2 linked regions of the Arabidopsis thaliana genome follow. The protein of the gene in region 1 interacts with the protein of each later gene in a pairwise test. Each region holds a gene or a part of one and is shown in the gene's direction. Other genes may lie near its edges.

Region 1 (5,055 bases):
ATGGCAATTTCAAAAGATCTCTATAAAAAATGGCAAAATCAACAATAATCCCTTGTCTATATGGTGGTATTTCTGCTAAAAGTGACTTATGGGTAGATTTTTTAGCTTCATAGATTCTTTGTCGAAAAAAAATTACTTTGTACATTTTAGTGGAGTTATTTAAATTTCCCAATTGAACAAAACCATATATTGATGAAATTCGCAAATGCAATCCAAAAATAAATATGTTCCACTCTTTTGGTTAGCTTTTAACTAAAGATGCGTTTTACTTTATGTAAGTGGTTGATCTTTTGGCAATGGGGGACAATGACTATACAATCTAAGAGATCATTTTAACGAATATCATTCATATTTCATCCTCTTCTTCAAATTTCAGTTTCACTAATTAACCACGTTTCAATTGTAGTGTATCGCGAGCTGTAAATATTATCTAATTTATGTTACATAATCATAACTGTAATCTTTATTAGACAAAAACATATATACCTCACTGCAAACACCTTCAAACATGGATAACTTGATTTAGGCATACAAATATTATTTCTCATTTATTTGATATGACCTATATTATGTGGCTATTTTATCAGTTTTAGTGTTTTTTATGATAATTGAACCACTTAAATGTTTATCTCATTTTTCAATTTATTTTAAACTGAATTAAAAAGTAAGAAAGTATGATCCAATAAGGCATCGACACATGGAAACCCATTTTAAGGTAGAAGATGCTTTTCTGCGGCTTCTGAAAACAACTAGAAAATGATATGATACGTTGCTTTCATTTATTGTAAGTATTATTTAGTTTTAATTCACGCGCTTCATATCCAGCTGCAAGACTACTACAACTTGCAATTATGAGACTCTCGTTAGAAAATTACCAGGTATAATTTAAAAACAAAAAGAACTAGAATATATTGGCAATTATTTGAAGTAAGAAAATATGAGATTCTTGACCGAGTTGTTAAACTATCAAACCCAAAAGTTTTGGTTAAAAAATAAGCTAGTACTATGTACATATGTTTTATGTTGAAAATATATTAAACTGTATGTAAGAGGGAGTGTACTTTCATTTTAGATATACATTTCCAGCTAGTACGAGGTCTCTATATATAAACTTTCTTAATATCGCTAAACAAATTTTACTTTCAAGTTTGTAATGTGATAAGTGAAAGACCGTATATACATACACATGTTAATCAACTGATAACCTTTGTGCCTCGTGTGTCTAGTTACTAGTCAACCATCAAACGTGCATGATGCTGTTTTTCTTAGAGTACTATTGTTGTGTTATATATAACTAAACATAAACAATTTGCTATTATGATATAAACATAGAATTTTCAAGCAATGATATGTTTAGATGTTTTGTATAAATATTCCATAAATAGTAGACACCCATATATACACAAACATGAATTCTACCTGAGGAGAAACACATAGATGTTCAAATTAAATAATAACCCTATAATGAAAACTCTAAAGTAAGTAATACGAAATAAAAATTTATCCTTTAAATAACATATAAACATATATATACAAGTTTAATTGGTAATTGTATCACAAGAGCCAATTATTTGGTGACTGTATCACACGTGCTTAAAGAGAGCGTGGGAATGAAAGTAAAGAAGAATAAAGAAGCAGAGAGATGGGCTAGAAATGAGAAAACACACCAAACCCTAACCTCACCCTCACACATTTCTTATCTTTTGCTCTCAATAGATTCCATTGATTCAAAACAAAATTTTCATTAAGATTTCACAACCTCCACACACTTCCAAACACAATTAAAGAGAGGAAAAAGAATCAATAACCCTATAAATAAAAAATCAGACAAACAGAAGTTTCCTCTTCTTCTTCCTTAAGCTAGTACCTTTTGTTCTTGAAATTAGGGTTAATTTCTTTTTTCCAAATACCATCAATTCTCCAGACCATAAAAACTCAAAAAGATCAGATCTTTCCTCTGAAAAAGAGATACCCAACTTATGTTTTTGTGTGTCTGTATATAGATAAACATTACATACCCATATTTGTGTATAGACATAAAAAGTGGAAATTAAGGTAACAAAAAGAAATGGGAAGAGGAAGAGTAGAGCTGAAGAGGATAGAGAACAAAATCAACAGACAAGTAACGTTTGCAAAGCGTAGGAACGGTTTGTTGAAGAAAGCTTATGAATTGTCTGTTCTCTGTGATGCTGAAGTTGCTCTCATCATCTTCTCCAACCGTGGAAAGCTCTATGAGTTTTGCAGCTCCTCAAAGTAAACAACTCTCTCACTCTTTATCAGTTTCTTGATTGAGTTTTTGCTAGATCTGAGCTTAGATCTTTGTCTCAAGGACTTGTTATATATAGATCACACGATCTTGATTTCTACGAAGTTGAGTTAATTAGATTTCTTGATTTCATTTTCTAGGGTTTTTTTCCAATTCTTGAAATTTAAGATCTGGTTTTTTTGTTGTCAATGATTTAGAACTGTGAATTTTGTAATCGAATAGATTCCAAATCCTGATATGCAATCTGAAAAGTTTTATATAATTAATATATGTCTGTGTGATTGGAAACTTAAAAGTTGTTCACAGATTTCTATGAAAATTACAAGTATCCAACGTAGAATGATAATATATGGTTACATGCATTAACCATTTGTTAGTTCATCATACTTTATGGTGGTTAAAACTTCAAACGCGTGTATATCTGTGAAGGCTTTGATTGTTTGTTTTTTCTTAAAAACAATGTTTAATAGATTTTTAATTATATGTTAAAATAGTTTTGCTTACATGCATTCAAGAAAATATAGCGATTAATTCCTTTTTTCAAATCACAATTTGTGAATCAAACGAAAACGTAAGATATTGCTTGCAAATGATAGGATTGAACTATTGATATTTGTAAATATAAATACGAAACTTTACGTTTGAAAGTTGAAACAATCAAATCCAAATCAACTCGTATATAATCAGATAAATAATGGAAACAATCTTCAATTTTGATGGAAGAATACTTTAAAACTTGAAGAGCTTTTTTTTTATGGTGATTTATAGGTTTAGATCTCCAAAGTCAAGTATGATCTTTTTAATAAACTCTTATTCTCTCTTTTTGAGTTATTTTCAGCATGCTCAAGACACTTGATCGGTACCAGAAATGCAGCTATGGATCCATTGAAGTCAACAACAAACCTGCCAAAGAACTTGAGGTGTTCTTAATTCAAATACTATTTTAGATTCCTATCATATCATTTCAAGAAAGATCTTTTTTAAAAGTTTGTTTTCGTGAAATATTTCAGAACAGCTACAGAGAATATCTGAAGCTTAAGGGTAGATATGAGAACCTTCAACGTCAACAGAGGTACATATCTGTCTACCTCCGTATATTTACTCAATTCTGTATCCATGTAGATTCATATTTGTAGGTGTGTGTGGCTTTTGTTGGTGCAGAAATCTTCTTGGGGAGGATTTAGGACCTTTGAATTCAAAGGAGTTAGAGCAGCTTGAGCGTCAACTGGACGGCTCTCTCAAGCAAGTTCGGTCCATCAAGGTATCTTTATACATGGAATCAATGATTCAAATGAGATTAATTTGTGTTGTTTAATTATAACTACTATGGTGGTATGATGATTGTTTGCAGACACAGTACATGCTTGACCAGCTCTCGGATCTTCAAAATAAAGAGCAAATGTTGCTTGAAACCAATAGAGCTTTGGCAATGAAGGTATAATTACAGAATAAATGCATTTGGTGCCTTGCGATCAATCTCTTTCACAGAGTTTAAGTTTCTAAACATTTTTGGAAACATCTCTAGTTTTCTTGTTTCTGATTATAGTCTTTTGGTGAAATGTAAATGTTTAGCTGGATGATATGATTGGTGTGAGAAGTCATCATATGGGAGGAGGAGGAGGATGGGAAGGTGGTGAACAGAATGTTACCTACGCGCATCATCAAGCTCAGTCTCAGGGACTATACCAGCCTCTTGAATGCAATCCAACTCTGCAAATGGGGTAAATCCTTTGCCTTAAACAATCATCTGCAAATCAGCTTGTGTACTTCACTACTAAGATTGTACTTATATAAGGTTCTTTAGTTACTTGGTGTAAAGAGGATCATCAATGTGTGTGAACCTTTTAAGTTGCTGTTTTGGTGATGATGATGATGATGACAGGTATGATAATCCGGTATGCTCAGAGCAAATAACTGCGACAACCCAAGCTCAGGCGCAGCAGGGAAACGGTTACATCCCGGGGTGGATGCTCTGAGAGTCATGTGCTGTGTTAAAGCTCACCAACAAAAGATCTTTTATATATATAAAAGTATAGACACAAGACTTTGGATTTGTAGACATAAGTGGCTATATATAATGGTCCTGAGGATCTTCAAGACATTTGTATCTTTTGGGAATCCTTGCTTATATTAAGAATTCAAATGTGTGGAACTTGTTTTAACACTGAACCATGACACTGGTTTATTATCATGTAATGAGAAACATTTGGGTTACAATGTGATCTCTCCTTGACCCAAATACCCAATGTAAACTATATGCCAAAATACAAGCATCACATATATATTCATAAATTCATAAAAGGTTAAAAGTAATCATACAAAATGATGTAAAAAGTTTCATGCCTTGAACAAAACACTGCGCCAAAGGCAAATCCTAAGAAACATGTCAGATTCCTGTGTGCATCTGTTCTGCTGCTGCTGTTGTTTTCTCTCAAGAGGGTTTCCTCAGAACTCCATAAGCCAAACGTGCAGAGAGACGTTTCCTCATTTCCCCATCATATACAATATCATATATTGTTAAAAAATATATTCACATCTCTCTGCTGCCTTGTCAATCTCCCCAGGTCCGGTCTAGGCAGTACAAGACAGGATCAATGGCAACAAGTTACGGTGTTTCGTGGAACTCCATCACCTGCAAATGAGACGAATTCACAGCAGAGAAAAAAATATTCTTTAGTCAACATGAATGAGAAATAATTCAAATGTTCTGAGTTTCAGGAAGAATGATTAGCCATATTTGTCATAGACAAGACAAGTAAAGATTTTACGCATGTGCTTCTAGGGTTGTT
Region 2 (2,890 bases), on another chromosome or scaffold:
GCTGTGAAGGAAACAAGTGAAGCAAACATGAGTTTTTTGTTGACACAAGTCTGTGTTAAAGTTGGTTCACAACTCAAGAAGTGATACTAGAACGTCGATGGTTCGGGAACGTCGGTGTGATTCACATCACAGCTATTTTTTTTCCATCGAAGATATGTTCACTAATGGTTGTTGAAGTGTGAAGATTGGAGTTGTCAAGGTTAGAGCAAGTTTAAAGGGTTCTAAGGAGCAGCTGCGAGGAAGTCTTCAAGTAGAATCAAGACATGTTGATTTTAAGATGCATTGAGGAAACAATTTTTCAAGGAAGCATTGAAGTTGAACGGTGAAGTTCAAGATGAGCGGTGAAGCTCAAGTACCGGAGATGGAATCCAAGAAGCTAGATAAGGAGCGTGAAGAAGATCGATGACAAGGTGGAGATTTGAAGGTTTAGTGTCATCCGATCTCAAGATATATGCTAAAGTGTGATAAGTATCTGAAGCAATCAGAGGGTTTGACCCAAGCTTCCTTCATTGGCTCACGTGAGAAGCACACACGTGAGATTAGTAATAAGTCACAACTAGAAGGGTAAAAGGGTCTTTTATCATTGGCTCTGTATCTTCTTCTTCTCTACTCTTCTTTGAGTATGTAACAGAATGAAACAGATAAGAGAAGCGTGACAACGAGACTACGCAAGTCGACGAGAGACGTGAGCTTAGAGTTAGAGGTAGAGAGAGTAACTGGTTTTGTGTTGGTGAGTGAGAGAAAGCTTGAGAGTGACTGTAATCCGGTGAGCGATTGTAACGGTCACTTGTATGAGCTCGAGTTTGAGCTATGATCTAGTGGATTCCGGAGTCAATCTCCGGCGAGACGTAGGGTTCCACACCGGAACCTGAACTCGTAAAATCTCGGTGTTCTTTGTTTGCGTTTTTTCTATTTTCTTTCAAATCCCTAAACTAAGTCGCAAGTTCTAATCGGAAATTATAGATTAGGCTTCACAATAATCTTGTAAAGTTTCTTAAACAATCTCTCTATTTTGATAATATTTTTCATTACTTTTTATGACTTTATTTTGTAAACAAAAATATAGAAAGTCATGAACCAATAACATAATAATTTAAATCATTAACAATAAGAGATTCTTTTGTTTTAATTGAATACCACAAAACTCTTACTGACTTTATAAGAATATGAATCCAATAACCCCAAATTTATGAAGATTTTAGATTACTTTTTACAAATCTTAAATGAATAACACAAAACATTAACATAGTTTTATATTATCTTGATTGAATAACAACATATTTTACATGACATTTTAAGTCAATAAAACTCCTTTGAAATCATAAACCAATAATATCCCCTAAAACTTAACTATTACTTTTGTTGAAAGAGAAAACATGTTCAATTAATAATGAATCTATTATACTCATGAAAATATTGTGTATATATATTCTAACATATAATTCACTGATTAACATATTACCCATATTTCTAATGAATGTAATTAAAGTTTATGTGCCACAATAGTTTGGTCAAAAAGAAAAACTATTTATTGTCTTAAGTAAAAAAAAAATCTTACAGAATCTTATAGAGTTAAATTTGCAAGCTCACAACTACATGAGCCAAAAAAATGTCAAATACTTAAATGACATTTACTTCAAAACTTTTTGATGTTAAGTCAGCCTGTCAAAATTTATTTCACTTTAACACGTGTTAGAATTCAATAACTACAAAACTATATATGTCATAATATTATGAAACTATATATCAAACAAAATTAGTGTTATTTGGGTAAGACAAAACATATTCAATTAATTAATTTTAATCTAACTTGAAAACATAGTATCTCTCTATTGGTATAAGCTCTTAATTACAATTAACCACGTACATAAGTACAACTTATTGTCACTATATATACCCTTAACACAAACAAATATTTTTATACAAACCTTGCATAAGCCTTTACGGAGTAAGGAACATTGAAACCCGATTTTTCATATATCTTTCTGTTCTAACTCATGGCGAATTTTCCAGATAAGCAGTATGACTCAAACAACCCATATAACATCATGATAACGTTGTCACCATTTGACGTCGATAGGAGTACTACGATAATGATGCCAAAAGCGTTACTAGAAACCAATTTATTTCCTTTCATGGAGATAAGTACTCTCGTCCAGTTGTTACAAGTTCAAGACAAGCCAAAGATGATTGGAGTGTATGATATTGATACTCAAATTACAACATATGTAATCATAAGACAAGATGGAAATAATTTTAAATTTCATGGATGGAATGATATTCTAAAAAGAAAACATTACAAAGCAGGCGATACTATTGCATTTTGGTGGGATCTTCGTCATACTAGACTAAATTTCAAACATGTTGCTTAATTGATGGAGCGAATCTTCACAACTTCATTTCTCGGATATGCATCTATACCGGGTTTGTCTGATCGAGTCCAGTTTGTTGTCGTTTTATTATGTTGGTTTAATTCCTGTTTCTAGAGAACATGTTTTTCTCTTATATTTATAAATATATATATTTGGATTTATAAGATAATATATGTAAATAATAAAAGAGTCGAGAGAAACAATTTCTCCAAATTTTTTATCTATACATTCAAATTTAATATAATATTTTGATAGTAAATCATAAAAAGGAATTGTTTGTGGTAGAATCATTTGTGTAACAGTTCTCATAATTTGCAATAAATAATAAATCAAGACAGCAAAACAAAAATTAATATGTATTAAAATTTAATTTATTTTAACACGCGTTAATCTAACTAATACAATTTCTATGTGCCTAAATATTTTGGCTTTTAAAAAGGTTATATGCATGTTGTAACAAATCTGATGACATTTCTGAATTATACATAATCGGCATCTAATTTATATTTTTTTTATCA

What was found. Proteins that work in one complex are often made in the same cells at the same time.
Region 2: the proteins of SEP1 (region 1) and AT4G05630 interact in binary tests that used the Arabidopsis thaliana proteins (3 or more experiments, as listed by UniProt).

What each region holds. Positions count from the first base shown.
Region 1 is NC_003076.8:5,150,781-5,155,835, reverse strand, and holds SEP1 (K-box region and MADS-box transcription factor family protein), read left to right. Parts: upstream 1-1,582; 5' UTR 1,583-2,068; coding exon 2,069-2,253; intron 2,254-3,104; coding exon 3,105-3,186; intron 3,187-3,276; coding exon 3,277-3,338; intron 3,339-3,427; coding exon 3,428-3,527; intron 3,528-3,617; coding exon 3,618-3,701; intron 3,702-3,838; coding exon 3,839-3,987; intron 3,988-4,115; coding exon 4,116-4,242; 3' UTR 4,243-4,502; downstream 4,503-5,055. UniProt on the Arabidopsis thaliana protein: Probable transcription factor. Functions with SEPALLATA2/AGL4 and SEPALLATA3/AGL9 to ensure proper development of petals, stamens and carpels, and to prevent the indeterminate growth of the flower meristem.
Region 2 is NC_003075.7:2,987,930-2,990,819, reverse strand, and holds AT4G05630 (B3 domain protein), read left to right. Parts: upstream 1-1,997; coding exon 1,998-2,372; downstream 2,373-2,890. Other genes in the region: AT4G05631 (uncharacterized protein), read left to right, coding at 185-250, 632-814.